6 linked regions of the Ovis aries genome follow. The protein of the gene in region 6 binds, or shares a complex with, the protein of the main gene of each other region. Links are inferred from orthologs where the notes say so. Each region holds a gene or a part of one and is shown on either strand. Other genes may lie near its edges. The genes, in order: INTS7, INTS6, INTS9, INTS12, INTS4 and INTS1.

The links.
Region 1: the proteins of INTS1 (region 6) and INTS7 are in contact, whole or in part, in a cryo-EM structure (PDB 8RC4), measured with the Homo sapiens proteins. The link is inferred for Ovis aries from reciprocal best matches to the Homo sapiens genes INTS1 and INTS7. Residues at the interface, in NP_001073922.2 of Homo sapiens: Leu1378, Gln1381, Gln1382, Gly1385, Gln1386, Ala1389, His1429, Phe1430, Leu1431, Cys1433, Pro1434, Arg1437, Gln1438, Cys1440, Gln1441, Pro1476, Ala1479, Gln1480, Met1483, Leu1484, Gln1487, Arg1552, Pro1554, His1555, Leu1556, Glu1557, Glu1558, Pro1613, Ser1614, Gly1616; in NP_056249.1 of Homo sapiens: His150, Asp151, Leu187, Ala188, Thr189, Pro190, Val191, Lys194, Thr223, Ser224, Tyr225, Pro226, Ser227, Thr228, Asn262, Asp263, Pro264, Arg265, Lys266, Pro303, Tyr304, Gln349, Glu350, Cys352, Tyr353, His354, Asn355, Arg357, Ala360, Gln384.
Region 2: INTS1 (region 6) and INTS6 share a complex: the UniProt entries of both Homo sapiens proteins name them as parts of the integrator complex. The link is inferred for Ovis aries from reciprocal best matches to the Homo sapiens genes INTS1 and INTS6.
Region 3: INTS1 (region 6) and INTS9 share a complex: the UniProt entries of both Homo sapiens proteins name them as parts of the integrator complex. The link is inferred for Ovis aries from reciprocal best matches to the Homo sapiens genes INTS1 and INTS9.
Region 4: INTS1 (region 6) and INTS12 share a complex: the UniProt entries of both Homo sapiens proteins name them as parts of the integrator complex. The link is inferred for Ovis aries from reciprocal best matches to the Homo sapiens genes INTS1 and INTS12.
Region 5: INTS1 (region 6) and INTS4 share a complex: the UniProt entries of both Homo sapiens proteins name them as parts of the integrator complex. The link is inferred for Ovis aries from reciprocal best matches to the Homo sapiens genes INTS1 and INTS4.

The regions. Positions count from the first base shown.
Region 1 is NC_056065.1:70,951,704-70,955,721, reverse strand, and holds the start of INTS7 (integrator complex subunit 7), read right to left. Parts: upstream 2,801-4,018; 5' UTR 2,696-2,800; coding exon 2,602-2,695; intron 1-2,601. Other genes in the region: DTL (denticleless protein homolog), read left to right, coding at 3,151-3,202. UniProt on the Homo sapiens protein: Component of the integrator complex, a multiprotein complex that terminates RNA polymerase II (Pol II) transcription in the promoter-proximal region of genes.
Region 2 is NC_056063.1:21,225,868-21,229,929, reverse strand, and holds the start of INTS6 (integrator complex subunit 6), read left to right. Parts: upstream 1-1,262; 5' UTR 1,263-1,787; coding exon 1,788-1,898; intron 1,899-2,062; exon of another isoform or gene 2,063-2,313; coding exon 2,314-2,391; intron 2,392-2,501; exon of another isoform or gene 2,502-2,755; intron 2,756-3,224; coding exon 3,225-3,374; intron 3,375-4,062. UniProt on the Homo sapiens protein: Component of the integrator complex, a multiprotein complex that terminates RNA polymerase II (Pol II) transcription in the promoter-proximal region of genes.
Region 3 is NC_056055.1:103,363,042-103,367,293, forward strand, and holds the start of INTS9 (integrator complex subunit 9), read right to left. Parts: upstream 2,801-4,252; 5' UTR 2,714-2,800; coding exon 2,705-2,713; intron 1-2,704. UniProt on the Homo sapiens protein: Component of the integrator complex, a multiprotein complex that terminates RNA polymerase II (Pol II) transcription in the promoter-proximal region of genes.
Region 4 is NC_056059.1:19,838,465-19,842,564, reverse strand, and holds the start of INTS12 (integrator complex subunit 12), read right to left. Parts: upstream 2,801-4,100; 5' UTR 2,632-2,800; intron 1-2,631. UniProt on the Homo sapiens protein: Component of the integrator complex, a multiprotein complex that terminates RNA polymerase II (Pol II) transcription in the promoter-proximal region of genes.
Region 5 is NC_056074.1:15,619,332-15,623,413, forward strand, and holds the start of INTS4 (integrator complex subunit 4), read left to right. Parts: upstream 1-1,282; 5' UTR 1,283-1,378; coding exon 1,379-1,432; intron 1,433-4,082. UniProt on the Homo sapiens protein: Component of the integrator complex, a multiprotein complex that terminates RNA polymerase II (Pol II) transcription in the promoter-proximal region of genes.
Region 6 is NC_056077.1:41,825,879-41,829,378, reverse strand, and holds part of INTS1 (integrator complex subunit 1), read right to left. Parts: intron 3,369-3,500; coding exon 3,228-3,368; intron 3,082-3,227; coding exon 2,907-3,081; intron 2,829-2,906; coding exon 2,705-2,828; intron 2,115-2,704; coding exon 1,984-2,114; intron 1,644-1,983; coding exon 1,514-1,643; intron 1,426-1,513; coding exon 1,199-1,425; intron 1,118-1,198; coding exon 994-1,117; intron 49-993; coding exon 1-48. UniProt on the Homo sapiens protein: Component of the integrator complex, a multiprotein complex that terminates RNA polymerase II (Pol II) transcription in the promoter-proximal region of genes.

The sequences.
Region 1 (4,018 bases), on a different chromosome or scaffold from region 6:
TCTTATTCTCACATCCTCAACTAATTCATTAGCCAATCTTGTTGGCCCTACCTTCAAAATACATACATAATCTCAGCACTTCACACAGCTTCACTATAACCTGGCCCAAGCCACTCTTCTCTTCTCCCTGGATTATTACAATCACCTCCTCTCTACAGCAGTAGCCTCGCTGCTATCTGTGTGGCACCATGTATTCAAGCAACCCCAGACCAACTTCCACCTGTAAAATAACTGGGTTGGTCAAAAAGTTACTTTGCGTTCTTCTGTAAGATGTTATGGAATAGAATAACATCTTACTTCACCCAAGGTGCTGCTGGGAGGATTAAACATGATCTAGGACTGACACCTGGTTTATAGGTAAACACTCAATAACCATCTATACACTTCTTACAGGTCTAAAATATTCCTATTTCAACTTTTGGGAAGGAAAAATTGTGTTACATTTTTTTCTTACCACAACTGCAAGTTTTTAGGAATCAAATAATTCTAGAGCCCTCATTTCTTCAGAGTCCCATCCCAATGCTGTTCTACACTACTGCTCTACTCTCATTATGGGATGAGTCCACCCAGACCACAGTGGTAGAAAATCTCTTTAGAGATTTAGTAGAAATATTAGACATGTAGACCTGCAACTCTTATTGGGGAATAAGGAAGGAATTAACAGAATGGGGAGGAAAAGGTTATGCAGTGTTTAAAAAACACATCTGATATTATGATTTTCTATTTCAGAAGGAAAAAGCCCTATAGTTTTTCTTAAGAGAAAGCAAAGCTCAACATCATTTTCTTGGATGATGGACTTGCACTACTATGACTCAACCAAAGGAATATCTCATTGGAGTGTTATGAAATTTTCATGTTGATCAAAGGAAGTTAAAAGTTTGTTTGTTTGTTTTTAAGTCTGAGAAACTCTTATCTGGACCAACTGCACTTTAAATGTCTACAAGGTAAAAAAAAAAAAAAAAATTGAAGTCCCAGAAAAGTTAACAAAGTGTCCAAGTCAGAGGGCTGGGAAGTGGCTCCAAGTGGACTTAAAAATCCTTCTAACTGCTAGTCCAGTTCTTAACATATTACCCACTGGCTACAGTTAATTAACTGTATACCAAGTGATGTTTCCCCCATTCAATAAAAATAACAAGTACACTGAAACAATAGAGTAACTGTAATACTTTGAGTTCTCTACTAAGAAATACCTGCCCTTGCCTTCCAAATCCCTCTCTAAAAGATAAGGCAAATCTCTTCTGCATTTAATAAGGACTTTTTTGCATACTATTACATCACTTAATATTTACAACCATTTTGCCAGCTCAATGGTATTTTCCTCATTTTGCAGAGAAAAAAACCAAGATTAGGTTTGGTTAAATGACATGTCCATGATCATAAAACTAGCGAAACTAGAATTCAACTCAAGTCTATCCAAAGCTTCTACTACTACACCAAGCCTGTCCCATCCCTTCATTGCCATAAGGAAACTGAACTCATTTGCAGAGAATGTGTGTGAAAGTCGCTCAGTCGTATCCGCCTCTTTGCAACCCCAAGGACTATACACACTCCAGGGAATTCTTCAGGCCAGAATAGTGGAATGGGTAGCTTCCCAACCCAGGGATCCAACCCAAGTCCCCCGCATTGTAGGCAGATTCTTTATCAGCTGAGCCACAAAGGAAGCCCAATTAAATAATAACTAAGACTTTATTTTACAGGTTTTTAAGATGACTCTGTTTCAGAGATGTTAATATGTGAAAAAATATGTATCTTAATGGATGAAATAGGATATGTGATGTCTCACTTATTGTATTTTTAGGACTTAATTGTAGTTTCTCAGAAGTAACACTACTTTATTGATAGGCTTCAAATACCCCCTTTAAAACTACCAAATATAGGAAATATAGTTAGAAAATCATCAATCATACACAAGTTCCCAAGTAAGTCCGGATTCTCTAATCTTTCCATTGATCTGACCCTGCCCTTAAAGTACATTGCTTTAATTACACTAAGCTTGCGCCACAAGCGAAGCCCAAGAATACTAGCGTGGGTAGCCTATCCCTTCTCCAGCGGATGTTCCGGACCCAGGAATCGAACCTTGCATTGCAGGCGGATTCTATACCAGCTGAGCTATCAGGGAAGCAGAGAATGAATAGGGGCTATGCTTTTCGGATGTCTTGGCCCTATTTTTGACCTGCCTAGTAACCGGCAGGTAAGAATTACAGAAATTAAATGAATCGCTGTAAAGTCGGTGCAAGAAGCAGCAGTCTTGGTGAAGACCTGGTCTTAACTGCACATACTGAAAAATAATTTCATAATTTCAATACAGCACTTTTAGAAACTGCGTGGAAAATCGCGGGGCTGTGCCCTCAAGCGGTCCAAGCGAGCCTTTAGCGGGAGCTCTCTACTTTTTCAGCTGTACAAGGCCAATCAAGCAACGCTGCCGTTTTCGGCCAACCTCCCAAAGCCGCGAAAAGCCCTGGGCTCACCAAAGGCAAAGGCGCCCGACCCCGCCCCGCCCAGGAAGCACCGCGCATGCGCCTCCCCAGCTTCTCGCGCGGCTACCACCGCCTGGTGGCGCCACTTCCCCCCACACACGCGCAGCCCGCTCTTTCGAAATACCTTTGTCTAACTCCATAAGGGCAGAGTTAGCATCCAGCTCCTGTTCGCCATAGCCGGCATCTGCCAGAAAAGACTTAGTTGAGTTTGACGCCATGACCCATACAGTTACTCGATTAGCCTATTCATAGAGATTGCAAACTCGGCCCCACCACCGCCATCTTCTTCCACCACCTTCTCGCGGATTTTTCCTCCGCGCTCTGTCAAGCCGTGTTACGCATGCGCCCTGGGCTCCCTGCCGTTCGCCAGCGCCCCTGCGGCCCCCCGCGCAGGCGCTCAGGGAGCTCTGGAACGCTAGGTTCCCGCGGCTGGGCGAGAAGGAGGCGGGGCTTCGAAGGGGGAAGTGACTCGTACGCTCCCGGACGCCGCTCCGAGAGCCAATCAGAGGGCGTGACGTCAGTTTGGCGGGGAGTTTGGTGACCGGGGCTTACAGTGGCGGGAGTTGGAGGCAATAACTTAGTCGTGGTCTAAGGGGCGCAGGATACAGTTTCTGCTGAATCTGGAGGCATTTCCACGGCTTTTTCCTCAGTTGAGCGTTTTCCTCCGTCCCAGATGCTGTTCAATTCGGTGCTCCGCCAGCCCCAGTTTGGCGTCCCGAGAAATGGTGAGTAACGGCCCTAACCGCTGTTTCTTGCCGGCGGGATTCACCTCCCCCAGAACAACTCCTCGGACCAATGCCGATTTCAGTTCAGTTTCCCAGCCGCCGAGTTCTCCCCCAGCCAGAATGAGTTCGTACTAGCTAGGAATACTGAAGAAAGCCGCACTTTAGTGCCCTCGAGATAGTTTTCGTCGTAATCGAGGCTTTTTTTAGTCGTGTAGGCTGAGGGAGGGAGGGACGTTGAGTTAACTGACCTCCATTACGGTTTATGTCTGTTTTGCACGTTAACTGGAAGACGCGTGCATTTGAGAGTGTTTGGCTTTCTGAACGAACAGCTGTGTGAGATCGTCAAGGATCGTACGCATTGATTAATTCATTCATTTGTAGTGGAAACTTAGTGAGCCCTACCGTTTGCTATATACACCAGAGAATAGGATCGGCTCTTAAAAAGAACTCAGTCAGGCAGGGAAAACAGAACATCTGCTTCTAGCATGGTCAGAATTTTTTCTTCCTGATTAATTCAAGGGTATAAAAATTCGTAGTAATACAGTGAAAAATGCCCGTAAGCACATTTCCCACAAATGACCACTATTAATAGATTGAAGTATTTTATTCCAAAATGTTTTTCAATGCCAGAAGTAGGAAGTATTGTTATTTATGGAAATGGGGTTAAAATGTTTTATCTCTTTACTTTTACGATAGAACTTGGAAATACTTCCATGTTAGTATATAGGCTTCCAATTTATTCTTTCCAGTTCTTGAAGTTCCTTAGGTTAAAACATTGGCAATAAGAATTTTGAGCTTTAGGTTTGAGTGTCATCA
Region 2 (4,062 bases), on a different chromosome or scaffold from region 6:
AAGTCAAACTGTCGACTAGCATATTTGAGGAAACTTTTCCTCGGACATTTAAGATTCATTATGTCATCTGGCTTGATGACAGGGGCTGGTTTTTAACCGAGAATGTCTTCCCTCATGCAGTATCTGGATGGAGCCTGATACAGTGTATGTGAAAGAGCACTGGAAGGGTTATGCAGAACCAATCTTACGTGTCACCTGGGCAGCCAAGTCAGTTTGTTTAAATAAAGAGTAATGGATTATGATTTGCCAGCGTCCCTTTTAGCTCTGAAAACTAACATTCGATGGCTCTAAGTAAATATGGCTTGACAGAGGTTACTTCTTTGGGTAAGACGGGTTATTTCCCTCCCAGTATAAAAAGGGCTATAAACAGTTTATCGATATTTGCATCTTTCCCGACTGTCCTTTTAGGGCTGAGTTGGTGGGGGGCGAATGGCTTATATCCTTTTCGGTGGGTCCTGCAACGAGAGGGGTACTGGCCAGGTCCAGCCCTCGCCCTCGGTCGCTGCCCAGGGCCAAGCACGGCTGCGGGCGAGGGTTGCCCGTGGTCCCCACTCCCCAGCGGGAGCGGTGTGACTAGCGGAGGAGATTAGTCCCTGGTCATAAACAACCTCTCACTTCCCCTCCCCCGCCCCGCCCGCGCCGGGGCCGGCCCTCCGAGGGCCAAGGAACCTCCTCCGACGACCGCCGGCCCAGAGCCCTCCTCTGGGGGGCGACCGCGGGCCTGCCGCTGACTCCTACCCGGGCTTTTGATCACGCTATACTCATCCCTCCTCACTGGCCCACAGGGAAGGGGTTCGCTACCAAGACCTCAGAAGAGGAGCTGAGGCCAACCTCCATTTCCCTTCCCCCGACCCCTACCACCTCCGACAGCCAAGGAGAGGCCGCCGTGCCTGACGCGCAGACTCACAGCCGCGCCGGCCCTGGGCGCGCCGACGCAGCCCCCACCCCACGGCCCTTCCGTGGCCAGTCTCCGCCCCTTCCCGGAGCCCGCCTCCGCGTCGGCCGGCCCGCCTGCTCTCCCCTCGCGCTCGCTCTCGCGCGCACCCGACGCCCCGCCTCTGCGCGTGCTCCATAACTGTTCCCGGAGCCGGCCTCCAAGCTTTCCCCGCCCCAGAGCTGTTTGAATATGCTAATAAGAGGCCAGGGGCCAGCCAATAGACTAGCGGGGCGGTGCGTCACGTGGCCAGAGGACGTGTCAGAGGGCGGAGCCTCTGCGGCCCCTGCCCGAGTTAAAACCGGAGTGTGAGGGAGAAAAGCGCTTCAGTAGCGAGAGGGGCTGAGAAAGTGGTGACACCGCCGGGGTGCGGAGGGAGTCCCTGAAACTTCTCCCAACAGCCCCAGGGCCAATCTCCCCTCAGCCCACTCCCCTCTTCGCCAGCTCCCAGGTCCCCACTCCCTGCGCCGGGGGTGGGGTAGGGAGCCAGGCCCGTCTCCCGCTGGGACACACACAGGGGCCGGGAGCGGGGACGGGACCCCCGAGGCGGGGGGGGAACGGACCGACAGACAGACGGCCGGGCGCCCGCCCCAGCGGGCAGGCAGGCAGGAGGAGGCGGAGGAGGCGGGGGTACGACGGGGAGGACTGGGTCCGGGGAGTTTCCTCTCAACTATCGGGGGAGAAACTCCCCGCAGCCGGAGGAAAGACCCAGACGGTGTTTTCCTCCCGGGGGCCGCGCTCCCCCGCCCCGCGTTAGCGGCGGTTGCCGCCGCCGCCGCCGCCACCGGCGCCTCCACCTCTACCATCTCCTCTTTCTCCACCACCTCGGGCCCCGGTGTCCCCGGCCAGCACTATGCCCATCTTACTGTTCCTGATAGACACGTCTGCCTCTATGAACCAGCGCAGCCATCTGGGCACCACCTACCTGGACACGGCCAAAGGCGCGGTAGAGACCTTCATGAAGGTACCGACCGACCGAGCCCGGGGGGCGACCCCGGCCCGGCGGCCCGCGGGCGGCAGGGGTTGGGGGGAGGGCGGCCAGGGGCGGCGAGGCGGAGGTGTCGGGGACCTGACTGCGGGAGCTGCCGGGCTCGGGGACCCCCTCCCCCACCGCGCGGGCGGGCGGGCGGCCGGGCGCTGCGAGCCGGGCTCGGCCAGGGCCCGGGCTCCGGCCCCGGGCGGTGTGTGTGTGAGGGGCCGATGTGTGTGTGTGTGTCTGTGTGTTGGGGGGGTGGGCGGCCGCGGCGTGTGCGGTAACTGTGGGGGGGGGGGGTGCGGCGGGGCCGCTGGGCGCCCCTTCTCCGCCTGCTAACCTCGCCTGTGTGCTTTCCTCTCGCCCGCCCTGTTCCTGCTCCCGTTTTCCACCCGTTCTCCCGCAGCTCCGTGCCCGGGACCCTGCCAGCCGAGGAGACAGGTATATGCTGGTCACTTTCGAAGAGCCACCCTATGCTATCAAGGTAACAACCCTCGCCCTCCCCCTCCCCTTCCCCGTCCCTTCCTCTCTCGCCCTCCCCGCCCCCCCATTCACCCTTCCTTATGCTCCCCTCCCCCACCCGCTGTGCTCTAGGCGCTGAGGTCTTCTCCCCTGCGGGCTCCCACCCCCTCCCCCCGCTCCGGAGCGTCCCGGCGCGGCGCGGAGTCGCCGGGCCACCGCCGTCCCCTCCCCAGCCCGGCCCGGCGGCGGCGGCGGCGGCGGCGGCGGCGCGGCGATCAACATGGCCGACATTTCCCCTCCGCGGCGTGAGCGGCAGCAATGAACTGTGGGGGATATTTATTCAAGTTAGCCCGAGTGACAGCCGGGCCCGGCCGCGCAGAGCCCGGGTTTGCATTAAAGGGGAATCGGCTCGAGGCCGGGGCGTGCCGACGGGCGGGGGGCTTGCGATGTGGGGTGGGGTGGGGTGCAGCGGGGCCGGGTCTCCGGATTCTCCCCGAGAGGGCCGCGGGGCCGGTGGGGCAGCTCCGGGTGAACTTCGGAAGTGCTGCTCACTTCTGCTTTCCACCAATACCTCTGCATCCCCGGATTTTTGGGCACGAGGTTGGGGAGTGCATCTCCCCGGGAAGTTATGAAGTATTAAGGCTGGTAGCCACGGAAAGCTGTAGAGCCAGCAGGTTTATTCTCGGCCACCTCTGGAAGAGAGTTTCTTTAGCAGAGAGACGGCATTGACACTTTACCCCAAACCGTACTGTAAAGTCGAGCAGCTGCTTGGTGAACGGCAGATTGTTAACGACCGTCCGTGTGTACCTGGCTTTAAAAGGTGAAAAAAAGAAATTCTCACATTTTTCTTTTCAGGCCGGATGGAAAGAAAACCATGCAACGTTTATGAATGAACTGAAAAACCTTCAAGCTGAAGGACTTACGACTCTTGGCCAATCCCTAAGGACAGCTTTTGATTTATTAAATTTAAATAGATTAGTAACTGGCATAGACAACTATGGGCAGGTAGGTTGAATATTAAGGTGGAAACACAGTTGATTTTTCTTTCTGTGGACAAGCAGCCCAGTCCAAAAGCTATATACTGTGAAATACAAATATGAAACATTGCAGATTAAAATACAGTATGCACATAATACAAAGTGGAATTCTGACCACAATGTATATGGTTTTATAGCTCTCAGGTTTTTTTTTGTTTTTTGTTTTTTAAAATGTATTTGGGTTCCGAATTTGAATCTGAATGCTATAAAGTTGACATAAATTTAGTTTTAATCTCTTAAAGCTCACTCAGGAAATAAAAGGAAAACATCCTGTTTCACCACACTGTTTCTCTGATGGCCTACCCACTGGCAACTGCAACCCTTGCAATGACTGACAGACACTAGTTAATTAAAATGATCTTAAAATGTTAGAGGAAATTATTCTATTTGTTGCAAAAGGGCTTAGTTTAACTGTGTTGTATAACAGTTCTGAAAGGTGAAAAGATTTTCAGTGTACTGGCTGAGTACATTAAGATTTCTCAGCTTTTAAAGTGTGTTCAGTAAGCCACTGCAGGAAGAATTCTGAAACCATTCTTGAATTAAATGGCAGGTTCAGAATTTTGTTTTTAAACTCCCAACCCTTGAAAGAGAGGCTGTTGGAAAATCTGAAAGAACCCTTCCTTTCTCCCTGAATTCCCCCAGTTCCTCGAATACTC
Region 3 (4,252 bases), on a different chromosome or scaffold from region 6:
TAGAACGAGCGTTTAAGTGACCTTTCTTTCAGATCTTTAACAAGAGAGCAACGGAACTGCAGAAAGTCCTGGATTCTGAGGCAATCAGGCTCGTTTCACTAAGGATTATCAGTCATCTTAAAATCACATTCAAACTTTCGTCTCAGCAAAATTACAAATAATTCCATGTCATTGATCCTTGGGGTCAAATTCAATAGTTAAAATGCAAAGTATTAAAACTTTGAATGCCACGGGTATACTGTGTTTGTATAATACATCCTTATTGACTGAATAAACTAGAGGATTCTCTCCAGCTCTGGAACTATCTACAGGAAGTGTGACAAATGATTTATTTTTGAACCGCTAGTTATTTTATTCACTTTAACGTTCATCTATTTGAATGACTAAATTCCTGGCCATGATGTTTCAAACTTGATTTCTGTCAATGAATTTGGTTTTTTTTTTTGCGGGGGGGGGGGGGCTCCCAAAGTCTTTTGTTAAAGACCCCGGTGAGTTCAATTTTCTATGCTTTGCTGAATTTGGCCATCAGGGTATACCCAATCAGGTTCAATCGATACTAAAAGGAGAATAGGCTCTAAAATGTGCTAGAGGATATGTTTCTAATTTTCCTGTTCTTTTCAAAATTGTCCTGATTAATTGAAGATGAATTTTCCTCAAAAAAAGTTGCCTGATATTACAAAGAAAAAATGAAAGTGTTAGTCACTCTCAGTCATGTCCAGATCTTTGCAATCTCATGGACTGTAGCCCACCAGGCTCCTCTGCCCATGGAATTTTCCAGGCAAGAATACTGGAGTGGGTTGCCATCTCCTATTCCCAGGGGATCTTCCTGACCTAGGCACCGAACCCGCATCTCGAGTTGCCCGCACTGGCAGGTGGATTCTTCATTACTAGCACTACCTGGAAAGCCCAACTGTATGGGAGGCAGGACAAAAAAGAAGTCTAACTTGCTGTCAGTGTTTCTGAAAGATACTCCTGTATTATAAATCATCAAGTACCAAATGAGTTTTAGTTATTAGGTGGATGAACAATAAAGAGGGAAGGAGTATAGATAGAACAATCCCTCTTCCTCTGAGGCATTTTATGGTTCTTAAAGGAAAAAAATGTTCCTACTTTTTCCACGTTTTCACATCTCTAAATAAAGTAAGCAGGAGAATTTTATAAGCAAACCAAAGTATATGTACATTAAACCCTGGCTCTGATACAATCAGCAAATGAGTTGTTATAGGAAAAAACCTGCTTCCCACTTGCCTGCCTTCGCACCACACACATCAACCATGATTTATCTTTTATTGACGACACCTGGTCTGTGTTTCAACCATTCAGGTGCCAAGCTCTTTGGCTTCTCTCAGCTGAACCCTCTTCAAGGAAGGCCCCAGCGCACTTGACCTTCTTATCAGTTCAAGAACTACCTTTCCAAAGGAGCTGTATCTGACTCCCCCACATACCCCCAGTATCCTCTCAATCAGCAAACCCTAAACATGATGACTCCTTTCACCCAGATGGAGGTGAATTATAACTTTTTCATTACTTTGTATCTTCTTCATTAGATTGCATGCTTCTTTAGGACAAGGGTGGTGATTTTCAATTCTGCATTTTGAAATGTTTGGAAAACTGACTCCAAAGCAAATTGACACTCTCAAGGTCTACTGATCTGTGCGTCCTTCTAATAGAAACAGCTTTAGATAGAGACAGTTTTGGAATTGAATCCACCTTTCTTATGTTCTCTGCCATCTCAAAGAACAGCTGACACTGTGCAGAATATATATGCCTGTACCGTGTGTGGGTACATACACACGTACTTTTCAAAAGCATGCTCAAATAATTAAGAGAAACCTTTTGTTTTTCCTCAGAAACTTCAGAAAGTAAAGCCTGACAATACCTGGCTGCAGGAACATGACTTTTAAAGCCTGAGAAACAGCATCTCACACCTTCTCTACTCAAATTATGCTATTACTAATTCCAATTAATTAGTTGGAGTAAGTTAGTTAAATCTGTGCACACTGAGAATTAAATGGCTCAAAACAAAAGCCTGAACAGCTTTCCTATAAGCCAAGCGTCTCAAGTTTTGTGATGCAGAACTTTTCCAGGTATCCTGGCATGCTCCATATAACCTTAGCTCACGCAGTCCCTACAGCTCTAGACTGTAACGCCAGTTAACACTTCCTCTCAGCCCATCTTATACAGAATTTAAGACTCAAACCATCCAAGATCACACTCTGACTTCGACCTCCTTTGAGTGATCAAGGGAAGTTAGGGGTCTATAACAGAGAATTAAATAAGAGATTAAGATCGGCCTAGAATTTTCTAAACTCTGTTCATGTTACCAAACCTTCTCAACAACTGTAAAAAGGAACGCTTCAAGTATCAATCCCGTGGAAAGAAGTGTACCAATTATAACACTCACGTGGCAGGCGGGAAACAAATCAAACCTGGTTCATAAAGTCCAACCTTGGTTCGTTTGTGAAGAAAGGTGACAAGATTCAATCTCTTATCTAACCAAAAGGGCCGCGCCAAGGGATGAATTGCATCTAGCAGTTGTGAAGGGTCTGCGTTGGAATTCAAACTCAACAACAAACATCAGCTTTCCTTGGTCCACTCCACCTTCTAGTTTCCTGCCACCCCTCGTCCGCGACGGTTCCCTTCCCAAGGTGGAAACGACGAATTCCAAAAGGATATGCCCTCCGATCTAAGAGCAGAGACTCACCAGTTTCATGCTGGACTTTTGGCTGGTAAGGAGCAGTTCCTCGACTTCTCAAACCCAGAAAGCGTCTTCCGGTTCAATCTCCACGACGGGCCCGCCGAGAGCATCGCGGGACATGCAGTCTTTTTTCCCCCTTCGCTCCTTCCCGGTGCATCATGGGAAATGTAGTCATCTCTCCGTGCATCATGGGAACCGTGGTCATCTTTCCTTTTCCTCTCCTCTTAGAACGCCTCCTTCCGTCAGCTCAAATTCATCCGCGCCGCCAATTCATCCTGCCTCTTCACCCCAGCATGATATCATGTCCCTCATCTGGGCCCAGAATCCATGGTATGCTGGGATGTGTAGTCCCTACGGCTCTGGCGCCCCTTTCCCCTCCTCCCTGTGGGAAGGCGCACTGGCGCGGTACTTGCCGGGAGCTGTAGTTCCTTGGGGCCTCGGGACGCAGAGTCCCGCACCTTTACTCAAGGGAGACAAAAACTACAACTCCCAGGGCCGCCCGGTGGCAGCAGGTGGGAGCGGGGCTGTTGATATCAATATGGCGGTTGTCAGCCAGACAAAGACAGTCAGTCTGATGTGATTGAGACAAGGGAGGTTTTTCAGGGGGAGACTGGGAGATAGGGGCCTCCCCTCCCCCTTCTCCTCTTCCTGCGCCGGCCTCAACCCCTCCCCAGACCCCTCCCGACGGGCGCCCCACGCGGAAGACACCCCTCCCCCTCCCGCTTTCCCCTCCTCCCTACCTCAGACCTCAGCCCTTCGTACCGGGACGTTGGGGAGGGGGCTGTGCCGGGCGGAGAGAACTCAGCAAGCATTCTGAGGTGAGTCGAGTGGTTTGGAAGCCTCAAGTCTCTCCAGTCTCTTTCCTCACTTCTTTCTCTTCACTTTTTTTTTGGGGGGGGGCGGTGTTGGGGGGAGTAAGTGAGTGGACTGGGGATGAGTGTCTTAAGCGGCCCAACTGAGAGGTAGGAGGAAGCGTGGGGTTTCGCGGGGGTGACCCGAACGCAGGGTCTGGGGTGGGGCAGTTTGTGGGGGCAGTAATTGAAAGGCGTCGGGTGCTCCCAACTCTTTTCTCCTGGTTGCCTCCCCAGTGGGCGGAAGGTTTGAATCCTGGAGGTGGGGTCTCCAGTTTGGAGTTTGGGAAACTGTGAGGGGAATTTGAGGTGCGTGGGTTTGTTTGGGGTGCAGAGCTGTGTTTGAAACTGGGTGACGTGCACTCGGGCGATGGGTTAGCCTTGAATAAATGTCTCAGGAGAGGAAGTTCGAGAGCCGGAGTCGGAGCTGTTAGCTGGGCCTGGGCGGAGAGGCGTGCGCGAGGTGCGGCTCCGGGACCTCTGGGCTAGCGGAGCGGCGCGGGGTGGCCTCGGGGAGCAACTCGTTTGTGTCCCATCGGCGGCTCACACTCCTCCCCGTCTCCCGGGACCAGCTCCACCGCAAACTCAGGGCAGGCGCCTCGGAGAGATGAGGTGCGGTGGAGATGGCTTTTTGCATCCTTAAGTCGGTAGCTAGGTGGGAAAGGAAGAGTGTTCTTAATATTTTATTCCGGAACCGTGTTTT
Region 4 (4,100 bases), on a different chromosome or scaffold from region 6:
TATGGGGTCACACAGAGTCGGACACGACTGAAGTGACTTAGCAGTAGCAGCAGAATGCAGGAAAAAAATGGTGTATATATAGGGTGTGGTACTATCCATGGTTTTAGGCATCCACTGGAGATCTTGGAACATATCCTACATGGATAAGAAAGGACTACTGAATAGTGAAAGAAATTCCTTTTTCTTCTATGGTCCTAAAGAGGTCCGCAACTGTGGGGTAAATCTGTCACTCAGTAACGCTGGCCAAGAGAATTCACTGTCTCTTTCAAAAACCTTTCTTCTCCATGAGAAATACTCAGCTCTTCTGGTTTTCCTTTTCTATCTTGGGCTCTTCTTTCTGTGAGTTATCTTTTCAACTCCATTGATCTTGGTATTGCTGAAGTAATTGTGTCCTCGTCTATTTTCTTTAGTTCTGCTACCAGTTTCCTATTTTGTAATCTTTATATATCATGTTTTCAACTAGCATCTGTAGAGAGATGATTTCATATGTTTACTCCCAGTCCATCTCTCTTAAGCTTAAACCCATATTTCCAACTGCTTAATAGACATATCTAACTGGTTGCCCTAATGGTATCTCAAGCTCAGCTATGATTGAATTTGGAATTATGAATATCTTCCCCCCAAACTTCCCTGTCCTGCACTGTCAATAAATGACACACTCTCCATTCATCAGGTCTGAGGCCTAAACCTTTGCTCACTGAATCCTTCCCAATCCCTTAATCTGAACAATCAGCAGGCCTTTCCTGTGAATTCTGACTCTGCAACATTTCTCACATCTGTTGCTGTTTTTCATTTCAAGGCTATTACTCAGATTCAGGTTTTCACTTGCTTTTTGTACTACAGCAAAAATCTAGTTATTCTCCTTGACATCAAGACAGTTGCTATATTAATGTTCCTGCAACACATTTTCTTTCTTTCTTCTTTGAAAATTAAGGCAAGCCACTGCCTTTAAAATAAAGCCTAATTTCTTGGCCTACCATTTAAAAAGATTCAGTAACTGGCACAAAAACTTTAATTCTTCATCCCTAGATCTTCAGTAGGGCAGAGTTATTAGCTGGGCTTGCTACTTATACTCAATTTGTCTGTCTGAGAAGCATTTTACCTTTTTTAATATTTCCAGATCCTATCAAGACCTGGTTCAAATACTACTTCTCATGAGGACTTGACTCATAGCTAGTGTGTTCTGCTCTGCTTCCTGGACTACTAATCCTGCTCTCCAAGGATATCTAGCAGAGCATTCTCATGGTATGGGAGTTTTCTACCTTCAACCACACTTTTCAATTTTTTGGACATTTGTTATAGTCTCTATAAAACTCTCAGTACTTTAAGGGAGGAAGCTATCTTTTTTGCCTGTGTGTGTTTGTGTGCTAGGTGGCTTCAGTGGGGGCCAACTCTACGCAAACCTATGGACTGTAGCCTGTCAGGCTCCTCTGTCCATGGGATTCTCCAAGCAAGAATACTGGAGTTGATTGCTGTGCTCTCTTCCTATCTTTTTTGCCTACCATTTTGCTATTTTGCAAAGTACCACAATATAATGGCCATAGAATTATTAGAGATCAAAGTATAATGATCTTTTCTCTGCTTCTACACAGTTCTAAATATTTCCAAAGTCCCTTAACAAAAAGCTACAAAAAAAGAAACTCAGACCCATCCCCACTAGCTCGCCCTGCCCTCAAACCCTAAAACATCAAAAAGGGAAAGGCAGTACAAAACAAAAACACCTCTTTCAAGACTGGGGACTTGTACAGTGTTCCTATCTGCAACAGTCTCTTGCCAATCCTTCATCTGGTTTAAATTTTTTAATCTCACTAGGCTGTAAACTCCATGCAAGCAGGGACTTGTTTTAGTCACTGTTATATACTTAGTGTTTCGAACTTAACAGACTCTCACAACTATTTGTTGAGTCAATGAACTAGGTTTCCTTTAAATGTCACTTTTGAGGGCTTCTGTGATTTCTCCAAACTAAGTTGGGCATTCATATATTATATGCTTTCCTCTAGATCCCATTTCCCACTCAACACGGCAATCATAAAAGAAATGCAAAGTTGATCTTCATGTGAACGAGATGCAGGAAACTGACCTTATTCACACAGAGAGCAATATTAGGGTTGTCATCACAGAACGGCTCTAGATAGCTCTGCCTTTTCATCTTTGCAAGCGCTTGTAACCCATCCCTTTAAAGATGCTGCCCTTTTTATTCCTTCACCGAGTTCTTGGCCCTAGGTTACACTGATATCTTAGGCACACGTCCGGAAACACAGGTGAGGTGGAAAGACCTTGATTCCAAACCAATCAAGTGACAGAGAATCTAAAAAGTGACCACAGACGCGCAGAACAAGAATGCCAATATTTTGACCAAAGTCGTGACACATCCAAGGCCTAGCACAGGGCAAGGTCTTTGACAAGTGAGAGGCAGACAGAAGGAGCTGTACAGAGAAGTCGCCAAAACCTGCCAAGGAAGGTCCGAGAAAGGGTTCCAAGGACCTAGTCCCTGGGGCTTCCTCTCCGTGGAAGCCCGACCCTCACTGTAAGGAGAAAGCGGTCAGCCTGGGCACTCTACCGCCTGCAGACTGCGAGGCGTCCCCACAGGGAGCGAGAAAACTCTAAGACCCCACGGAACCACTCTCCCACCTCGCCCCTCGCGGACGTCTCAAGCCCCTGAGAGTCGGCTGAGAGCCGGGCAGCCGGTCACTACTCACTATTCACCGCTCCGCCCAGCTGCTCCGTCCGTTGCCGGTGGCCTGGCGAACCGGTGCCAACACCACCAGCCCGCCCCGAGAGCGGAAAAACAAAGGTTCCCGCAGGAGGCTCGGCCGCGGAACGCTTTGACTGTGCGACGGTAGGAAGTGACGTGAGCCTCTCTTTCCGGTCCGCCGGATTAAGAATGACGGCCGCCGCCGCTGCTTCCTTGAAGCGCTTGACGTTCTTTCTCTCGTGGCCTCGTTGGCAGCGAGCGGTCAGCAGACGAAGACTCCCTGAAGTGGCCTCGGGAAACTCGGCTCGGGCGGGGCTGGAATGCGCTGGCGGCCCCTGTCGCCTACCCACTCACGCACCCTCCCTGCCTGGCCGCGCCTCTGCGACCAGGTAAGGAGGGCGCAGTCCCCGTGACCCCGAAAAACCGCCTCTTAGTATAGGGGGAAACAGGATGGACGATGCGGGCAAGCGTGGGAAGGCTCCCGTCCCCTTTCCAGTTTTTCCAAGACCAGTGCCCGTGGCTTTCTCTAACGATGGAATGGAGCAACTTCCAGTTGCAGCAATCTCAGGGGTCTTCTGCCATTTGCTGCTAGGTATAGTTGGTGTGTGGACTTCCCTGGTGGCTCAGACGGTAAAGCGTCTGCCTACAATGTGGGAGACCTGGGTTCAATCCCTGGGTCGGGAAGAAGGCAATGGCAGCCCACTCCAGTATTCTTGCCTGGAAAATCCCATGGATGGAGGAGCCTGGTGGGCTACAGTTCATGGGGTCGCAAAGAGTCGGACACGACTGAGCGATGCTCACTCATGGTTTGTGTAGATTTCTTGGATCATCTTTAACTTTTTTTTTTTTTTGGCACTTAGTTTTCTCTCCCAGCCCTTCCTCATTGGAGAGAGCAGTTGTATGTGAATGTTAGCAAACTGTTGCTCCAGTGAACTTGCTTCATTCATTTGGGGTCATTTGCTTCTATTGCATCATCAAGGCCGTGTTTCACTTTGGTTTAGGATTAGGTGACTTGGTTTTTTCCTTCATTCTTAATGTCATGATCCTATCTTGGATATCAAGAAAATGCCAACACTTAATAATACATCTTGGCAAAAGTATTGCTAGAGGAGATCGAGTACTTCTTTTTCTCCTAAGCGTATGTAGAAACTGTTTAAAAGGGAACATGCAAAAGCAGGCAACAACTAGTGGTATGACAATTTAAACTTTAACCATGGTCATTTAAATAGTGTGGAATAAAATCTTTGTTATAAGTACTACTGAGTAGTTTGCTGTCATATTGAATACGAACATCAAGCTATGTGACTTTTTTTTAACTCCCTGGTGAGTGGTATTTGTAGTTGTTCAGTTGCTAAGTCATGTTACACTCTTTGCAATTCCCATGGACTGCAACACACCAGGCTTC
Region 5 (4,082 bases), on a different chromosome or scaffold from region 6:
AGGTAGCTTTTCAACAACTGGAATGAGAGAGCAGGAAAAAGTACCCTAGGCCAGGAGAGGTTTGGAGGGGTGGCATACAGCTTTGTAAGCAGATAGGGAGGGGGGGGGGTCCCTAGAAAAAGATGTAAGAAAAGCCATTTTTGGCTTAAGCCATTGTTTGATCTAAGCCTGACCACAATGCTTGTCCTTGAACAGGTCTCTAATTAATTATCTTGAGAGAAGTGAGGGAAGGAAGGAACAAAAGAAATACGTTTTCTTGTTCCTTGCAGTCAAAAACCAGTTTTTCCTTAAAAGATATATGTAACAATCTGATATATGTCTTTGAGTTCTGCAAGAACTAATGTTCCCCACTCACCTTGAAGATGGAGCGGTGATGTCGACCCTCTTGAATTCAATCAACTAAAGCTTGGGCCCTGTAGACCTCTCCCCAATCCAATGCTGAATTCTCCTCTGCTCAAGCGCCTTCATGAATGAATTTGCATGCACCCTTAGGCTTCCGTGGTAGGTCAGAATCTGCCTACAGTGCATGAGACCTGAGCTCGATCCCTGGGTCAGGAAGATCCCTTGGAGAAGGGGACAGCAATTCACTTCAGTATTCTTGCCTGGAGAATTCCATGGATGGAGTGGCCTGGTGGGCTACGATCAATGGGGTCTCAAAGAGCTGGACACCACCGAGCGACTAACACTTAGCTTAAAGCGTCCCCAGTTTTGCTGTTTGGAGACACTGCTTTGGGGAAGATTGCTTGTGCTCTCCTTACTTGCTGCAAGTAATATGTCCTTACTTCTTTGGAACTTTGGTTAGTTGGGTCTTCAGGCTTGACAACAACCAGAAGGCAAACCCAGTTTCTGAGCAACAGCTCGATCAAAAGGCGAGCACAGGGGACAGACAGCAAATACTGAGAACAGCAATGGATGATGGAGCTGTCAGTCTGACCTCTTTGTGTTATCTTCTGAGTCAGAATCCTCACACAGCTCCAGGTTTTACCTCTAGCTCTGGATAGCTCCACCTCCGCCCTTTACACTGAAGCACTTCCCCCGACCCTCCGTTTCCCTCCGTCACTCAAACCCAACAGAAAGCCCCCCAAAGCTCCCATTGGCTCCTCCAGCCTTTCCGACCCGCCTCCTCCTGCCAGAAGCCCCGCCCCCTGTGCTACGCTCCGGCTCCGGTTTCCGTTCCTCCCGCGCGGCAGGCGTAGGTCGCTAAATCCGGACGCACAGCGACAAGGCAGTCGAGCAGCCGGAAGCGGCTTCTCTTTCCCGGAACCCCACTGCCTTGTGGGACAGCGGCTGGTTCCTCCCTCCTGGGCAAGTTTGTTCGTATTCCTCTGCCCCCCTCAGCCCCGTCGGGTACGGAAGCTGAGAAGGTGCACGAACAACCATGGCGGCACATCTGAAGAAGCGGGTTTATGAGGAGTTCACTAAGGTGGTTCAGGTAAGCTCTAGAAGGAAAGGTCCCAGGACTGGTCTGGGAAAGGGGAAGGTAGGTTATCCGCGCCCCCAGACACTTTGCCAGAACTGGCGCCACAAAGCTGGGTAGGGTGTCAGTGCTGCCAGTGCTTTGGTAGGCTGCCTCTCTGACTACACTTTAGTGGGCGTGTTCATTGGCCGCTGCTGTTGTCAGTATTAACATGTGCAGTCTGACACTAAAAAAAACTATTAGAAGAAGCAAACAGCACCTTGCAATTTACGAAAGTATCTTATCTGTTATCTTATTTTTTTCATGTTACCTTCAGTTCAGCAGCTCAGTCGTGTCCGACTCTTTGCGACCCCATGAATCGCAGCACGCCAGGCCTCCCTGTACATCACCAACTCCCGGAGTTTACTCAAACTCATGTCCATCGAGTGGGTGATGCCATCCAACCATCTCATCATCTGTCGTCCCCTTCTCCTCCCGCCTTCAATCTTTGCCAGCATCAGGGTCTTTTCCATTGAGTCAGTTCTTCGCATCAGATGGCCAAAGTATTGAAGTTTCACCTTCAGCATTAGTCCTTCCAGTGAATATTCAGGACTGATTTCCTTTAGGTTCGACTGGTTTAATCTCGTTGCTGTCCAAGGGACTTTCAAGAGGCTTCCCCAAACACCGCAGTTCATTAGCATCTTCATTTTACAAATGAGGACTTTGAGACTTCTGGTGGGGTATTGACAAATTTCCTTGCAACTCCCATTACCAAAAAAGTGCCCAAAGCCAAGTTGGCTGTATGCAGAGCTCTAAGGGTTTGGAAGAGGAATCTATAGGAGTCCTCAAGACCCAGTCACAGCAGACGAGAGTCACAGGCTTCATAGGGGTTGAAGTTTTCGTTGGTGGAACAGCTCACCACCAACCTTTTATAGTTTACCTGTAAAGGAGGGCAGTACCATCCTTCCTCCTTTGGAGTTGTTTCAGGACTGAGGGGCCCAGACCGTGTCAGTTAGTCAGTTGAGTCAGTTCAGTCGCTCAGTCGTGTCCAACTCTTTGCGACCCCATGAATTGCAGTATGCCAGGCCTCCCTGTCCATCACCAACTCCCGGAGTTCACTCAAACTCATGTCCATCGAGTTGGTGATGCCATCCAGCCCTCTCATCCTCTGTCGTTCCCTTCTCCTCCTGCCCCCAATCCCTCCCAGCATCAGAGTCTTTTCCAATGAGTCAACTCTTCGCATGAGGTGGCCAAAGTACTGGAGTTTCAGCTTTAGCATCATTCCCTCCAAAGAAATCCCAGGACTGATCTCCTTCAGAATGGACTGGTTGGATCTCCTTGCAGTCCAGCGGACTCTCCAACACCACAGTTCAAAAGCATCAATTCTTTGGGACTCAGCTTTCTTCACAGTCCAACTCTCACATCCATACATGACCACTGGAAAAACAATAGCCTTGACTAGACGGACCTTTGTTGGCAAAGTAATCTCTGTTTTTGAATATGCTGTCTAGGTTGGTGATAACTTTCCTTCCAAGGAGTGTCAGCAGTCAGTGATTCTCTATGTATTTCCTCAGAGAGATCGCTAAAGTAGAGGTTGATCCCAGGTCATACCCTGTGTCCTGCTTTTCTGACTTTGTGTATCCAAATCATCTGGGCTCTTGTTAAAATGTAGATTCTACTTAGTAAGTGAATTGGCTGGGGGAGGCAAGGCAATAATCTACATTTCTGAAAAGCCCCCGGTTAATGCCAGCCAATAGCAGGTTTCCATCCATAGACTTGTGGCCTAGGAAGATTTAGACCATGCATTAGGACGCTGATCCTTAAGTATTTCATTTATTCCTTCAACAAGAGTTTATTGAATAAAGTAGTGGTTACTATGTATCAATATTAGGTATGGTGAAAGGTGCTGAGCTATAAAATCCAGTACACATTAGGGTGTCTGTCCTTTCGGAACTCAGGTGAGAGGGAGATGTGGAGCACCATATCTGAGATTATAGTACAGAGGGGTAATTGCATCGACAAACCAAGTCTTCCTTACTCTTTTACAACTACTTTTTGTGAAAACTATCCAAACTCCCTTGCCCTTTGTGATTAACAGTATTCTTTCACTGCCTTTTTCTTGTGTGTGTGTGTGGCATATTTCCATTGTGTGTAGGGAAGTTAGTTGGCTTCTTATTCTTTTTTTTTTTCTGAAAATAACTTTGATACTTACCTTGTCACTGTTATTGCTCCTTTTTATGTAAAATTCGTTTTCTTGAACTTATAGAGTGAGTCAAGATTCAGGAAAGCTTTACAGAGCTCCCTCTTCCGTGGCTTGCTTTTTGGGATTTCCTGGCTCTGGATTCCTTTGCCCCCATTTGAAAAACAAATTGTGCCAAAATAAACATAACAGAATTTATCATTGTAACCATTTTTTAAGCGTGGAGTTCAGTGACGACATGTACATTCACTTTGTTGGGCCGTATCACTTCCTTTCTTTACTATATTCTGTTGTTTCCTCTCGCCAAGACTACTCACCGCTCCTCCAGCATGCCATGTGTTTGGACCTTTCCGAACCTTTGTGTCTGTTGTCTCTTTTACGTAGAATGGGTGTCACTCTTCCTGCTCTTTTTGTTCTCCGCCCAGTGGACTTGGATTTTGCTTTAGTCTCTCCTCCCCTACTTCTGTAGCACTCATCTATTTGTAC
Region 6 (3,500 bases):
GCTGGTGTCCGCCAGAAGGGTGATGAAGCGGTGGATGAGGCCGTCCAGCTGAGACGGGCAGGAAGTCACGGCCAGGGCCCTCGCAGCCTTCATGCCCACCTGCCCACCTGCCCACCAGGGCTCAGCCCCGAGGGCCTGGCACAGTCCCTGAGGACCCTCATGGTGTCCCAGAGAAACCTGCCCCCGCTGCTTTCTGGGGCTTCAGAGGATCAAGCTGGCTGTAGCTGGAGGTCCCGGCCAACCTCAGCACACAGTGCGACGTCAGCCGCTCACCGCAGACAGACCAGAAGCCCTGAACTATCTCAGGTGAGAAAGACCGACCCCACAGGTAAAGCTAACTTCAGGTGTGTGACACGGGACACACACAAAGCAAAGAAAGCACAGCTAAAGAAACGTCGCTCCCTCCTCCTCCAGAGACGCAGGGCTGGAGGCAGACCTGACTCAGAGCCCTGCCCAGGGAAGGCGGGGAGGGGGCAGGGAGACCCACCACAGCACCCCCCCCCCCCCCCCGGCACCACTGAGAGGAGGGGAAGGCAGATGCTGAACACAGAGGACCCACACTAGACAGGCGGGGGAGGCAGGCAGCCAGGAAGGGACACGCTGTCCACACGGGCCCAGCAGAGAGGCTCTGAAGTCAGCACGCGCGCAGAGAGTCTGCTGAGACTCTGCTGACGTGTGGGGACAGAGCAGGAAGACAGGGCTCAGGAGATGTCACACCCAGCGTGCAGCCTGCGGTTCTCAACAGTCCCCATCACGGAATGAGAGGGATATGGGGGGATGCCTGCTCTGCCCCGCTCCACACCTGGAGGACTTCCCGGAGGAGGAAGGACCCTCCAAGAGGTCAGACAGGAGAGGGCGGCAGGGTGGGCTCTGCCCTCAGATACTCATCCACACTCACCGAGTTCTGAGAAAAAGCACTTCCCTACCTCCCGGTCTGGGTTCCCACCCCCAAGCAAAGGAGCCAGGCGCCCTGTGGAGCCCGTCAGGCCTTACCTTGCAGACACTGCTGCCAGCGGCCCCCTGGCTGTGCAGCAGGACGTCGGGCAGGGGCACCCGCAGGTCCGGCCGCTGCAGGTAGAGCTGCACCAGCAGATCGCGGCTGCACCGGCCCAGCACGCTGCAGGAGAGCAGACGCAGTGGTCGCGTGGCCGGGGCAGCTCCCACCCCCGCGCGCAGTCTGAGCCGGGCGGGCCCTCACCTGTCGCCCCACTGCTGGACGCAGCCCGTCAAGTGTGCCGTCACCTTCTTGATGCCTTCATCACCACCGTGGCAGCAGCTCAGCAGCAGGGGCAGGCGCGCCTGGAGCAGCCCGCAAGCACCCGCATCCCTGTCCTGGCTGCGCGCCTCCGCCTCAGCCAGGATCAGCTCCACGAGCCCCACGAGCTCCGCCGGCTGCACCCGCAGCACCAGCTCCTCCCGCCGCTTCTGCAGTTGGACGCCGTCGGTCAGCCCCGCGCGGGACGGCCGTGCCTGGGCCACCCCGCCCTCCGGGCAGGGGACACCCCAAACCTGCCTGCGGGGTGCGCTGGTCCCTGCCCTGCCAGATCCGAGGAACATGGATGCAGGCCCAGAGGAAGTCAAGGGAGGCCGAGGGGTCAAACCTGGGGGAGGCGGGGAGGCCAGACCCAGCAGGAGGCGTGACTCTGGGCGGAGGGAGGTGGATGGGACGGGCAAAATGCCCCGTCAGCTGGGACCCTGGCCGGCCGCAGAGGACGTGGGCCACCCACCCAAGCTCGTCCAGCCCTGCCCCCACCCACCCTTGCTTGCAGCCATGTGGCACAAACAGCCCTTCACTGTGACTAGAGCACAGGGGACCGGCCACCCAGAGCAGGGCCACCCGGGCCTGCCAGGTCCTGAGGGGGCCAGAGTGGTGCTGGGCCAGATCCCCCGGGCCAGGCTCCCAGAGGAGCTCTGCGCTGGGCGGCTCCACACAGCCCTGGGTGACAAGGAAGGAGCCGGCCTGATGGGTGGCGGGGGGCTCACCTCTGCTCCCGGCCCCGGCCCAGCAGGATGCGGATACACTGGTGCAGGGTGGGCCAGCTGGACTGGTGTGTGAGCAGGGCCAGCAGGTAGGGCCGGAAAGATGGCACCTGGGGGCCAGGGTGGCCTTTGCCCTGGGACGGAGGAAACCTGGATTGGCCTCCACCAGGCTGCCCAGCTCTGGTGAGTGGGGCCGGTGGACAGCAGGCAGCCCGTGGGAGGCAGCACAGGGCAGAGAGAAGCCGTCACTTCAGGGCAGGGCCTCCCAGGCTAGTGGGTCCCTCCGCAGATTAAACGTGGGCTGAACTGAACCCACCTCTCAGAGCGGGGACACGCAAGCAGCACTCTGGGCGCAGAAGTGTGACCCACACCCTCAGAAACGCAGACCCGCCAGCACTGGGCAGGAACAAGGGCAGGGGTCACACAGCCCCTCCCCGGCCTCCCGGTCAGTGTTTCTGCGTTTTCCCACGGCCTGAAGGGCCCTGAGGCGGGCTCTAGCCCCCACCCCTCGTCAGGGGAGCTGGGCTCCACTCCCTCCAGCGCCCTGTGAGGACCTGGGCCCACAGGGAACAACCCCGCCCCTGCCCTCCCGCCTCTGTGACCAGATCTGGCCGGTCGTGGCAACTGGCTCGGCACACTCAGGACCTGTCCGGCTGATGAGACTCCAGCCTGGGGCCTGTGAGAACCAACAGGAAGAGCGAGTGCTGGGCACGGCGAGGCCCACCTTGCCGCGGGAGAAGAGCAGCCTCTGCTGAAGGTCGGGGCAGCTGCCGACCACCTCGGGGTCCAGCATCTCCAGCCAGTCGACAAGCAGCCCCGAGCAGGGCCCCAGGCGCTCGGCCTCCTGGCTGCAGGGAAGGGGGCCGGGGGTCAGACACAGCTGCCCGGGGCTGTCCCCAGGCGCGACCGCAGCCCCGCCGGCTCACCTGCAGCTGTCGGCATCCTGTTTCCCTGGGACCAGGGGCTCCTCCTTCTCCGGCAGCAGCAGCGAGCTGACCACCGCCACGGGCCCCGAGGCTGGGACGGAGGGTGCAGCGGAGAGGAGCGCGGCCAGCAGCTCCTCCAAGTGAGGTGACCTCGCCGCAATCAAACCCCGGAGAACTGCAGGGCAGAGGGGGCGCCCATCACACGGGCCCCGGCTCCAGGATAGACAGCCCCGCTCCCGGGGTTCTGTTCTGCTGGGGGTGCCCGGCAGAGGGACTCTGGAGTGGCAAGGGGGTCCTCAGTGGAGCCCGCGGCCCAGATACCTTTGCTGATGAGCTCGGGCTCCACGTCACACTGCTCCCCAGACTTGAGGGTGGCCACGAGGGCACGCACGGTGGAGCTGACCGCTTCCGGGTCCCCGCGGAACGTCAGGGCCTCCACCAGGTGCAAGAACCCACTCCGCACTGCAGGGGAGAGTGTGACTGGCTGGACCCCCGCCAGGGCCCCGGGAGTGGTCCCCCAGTTCCCACACACACTCCCTCCCCGAGGGGCCACCCCTGGGCCCCGGTCCTGAAACCACTGTTTCCTGGAACCAT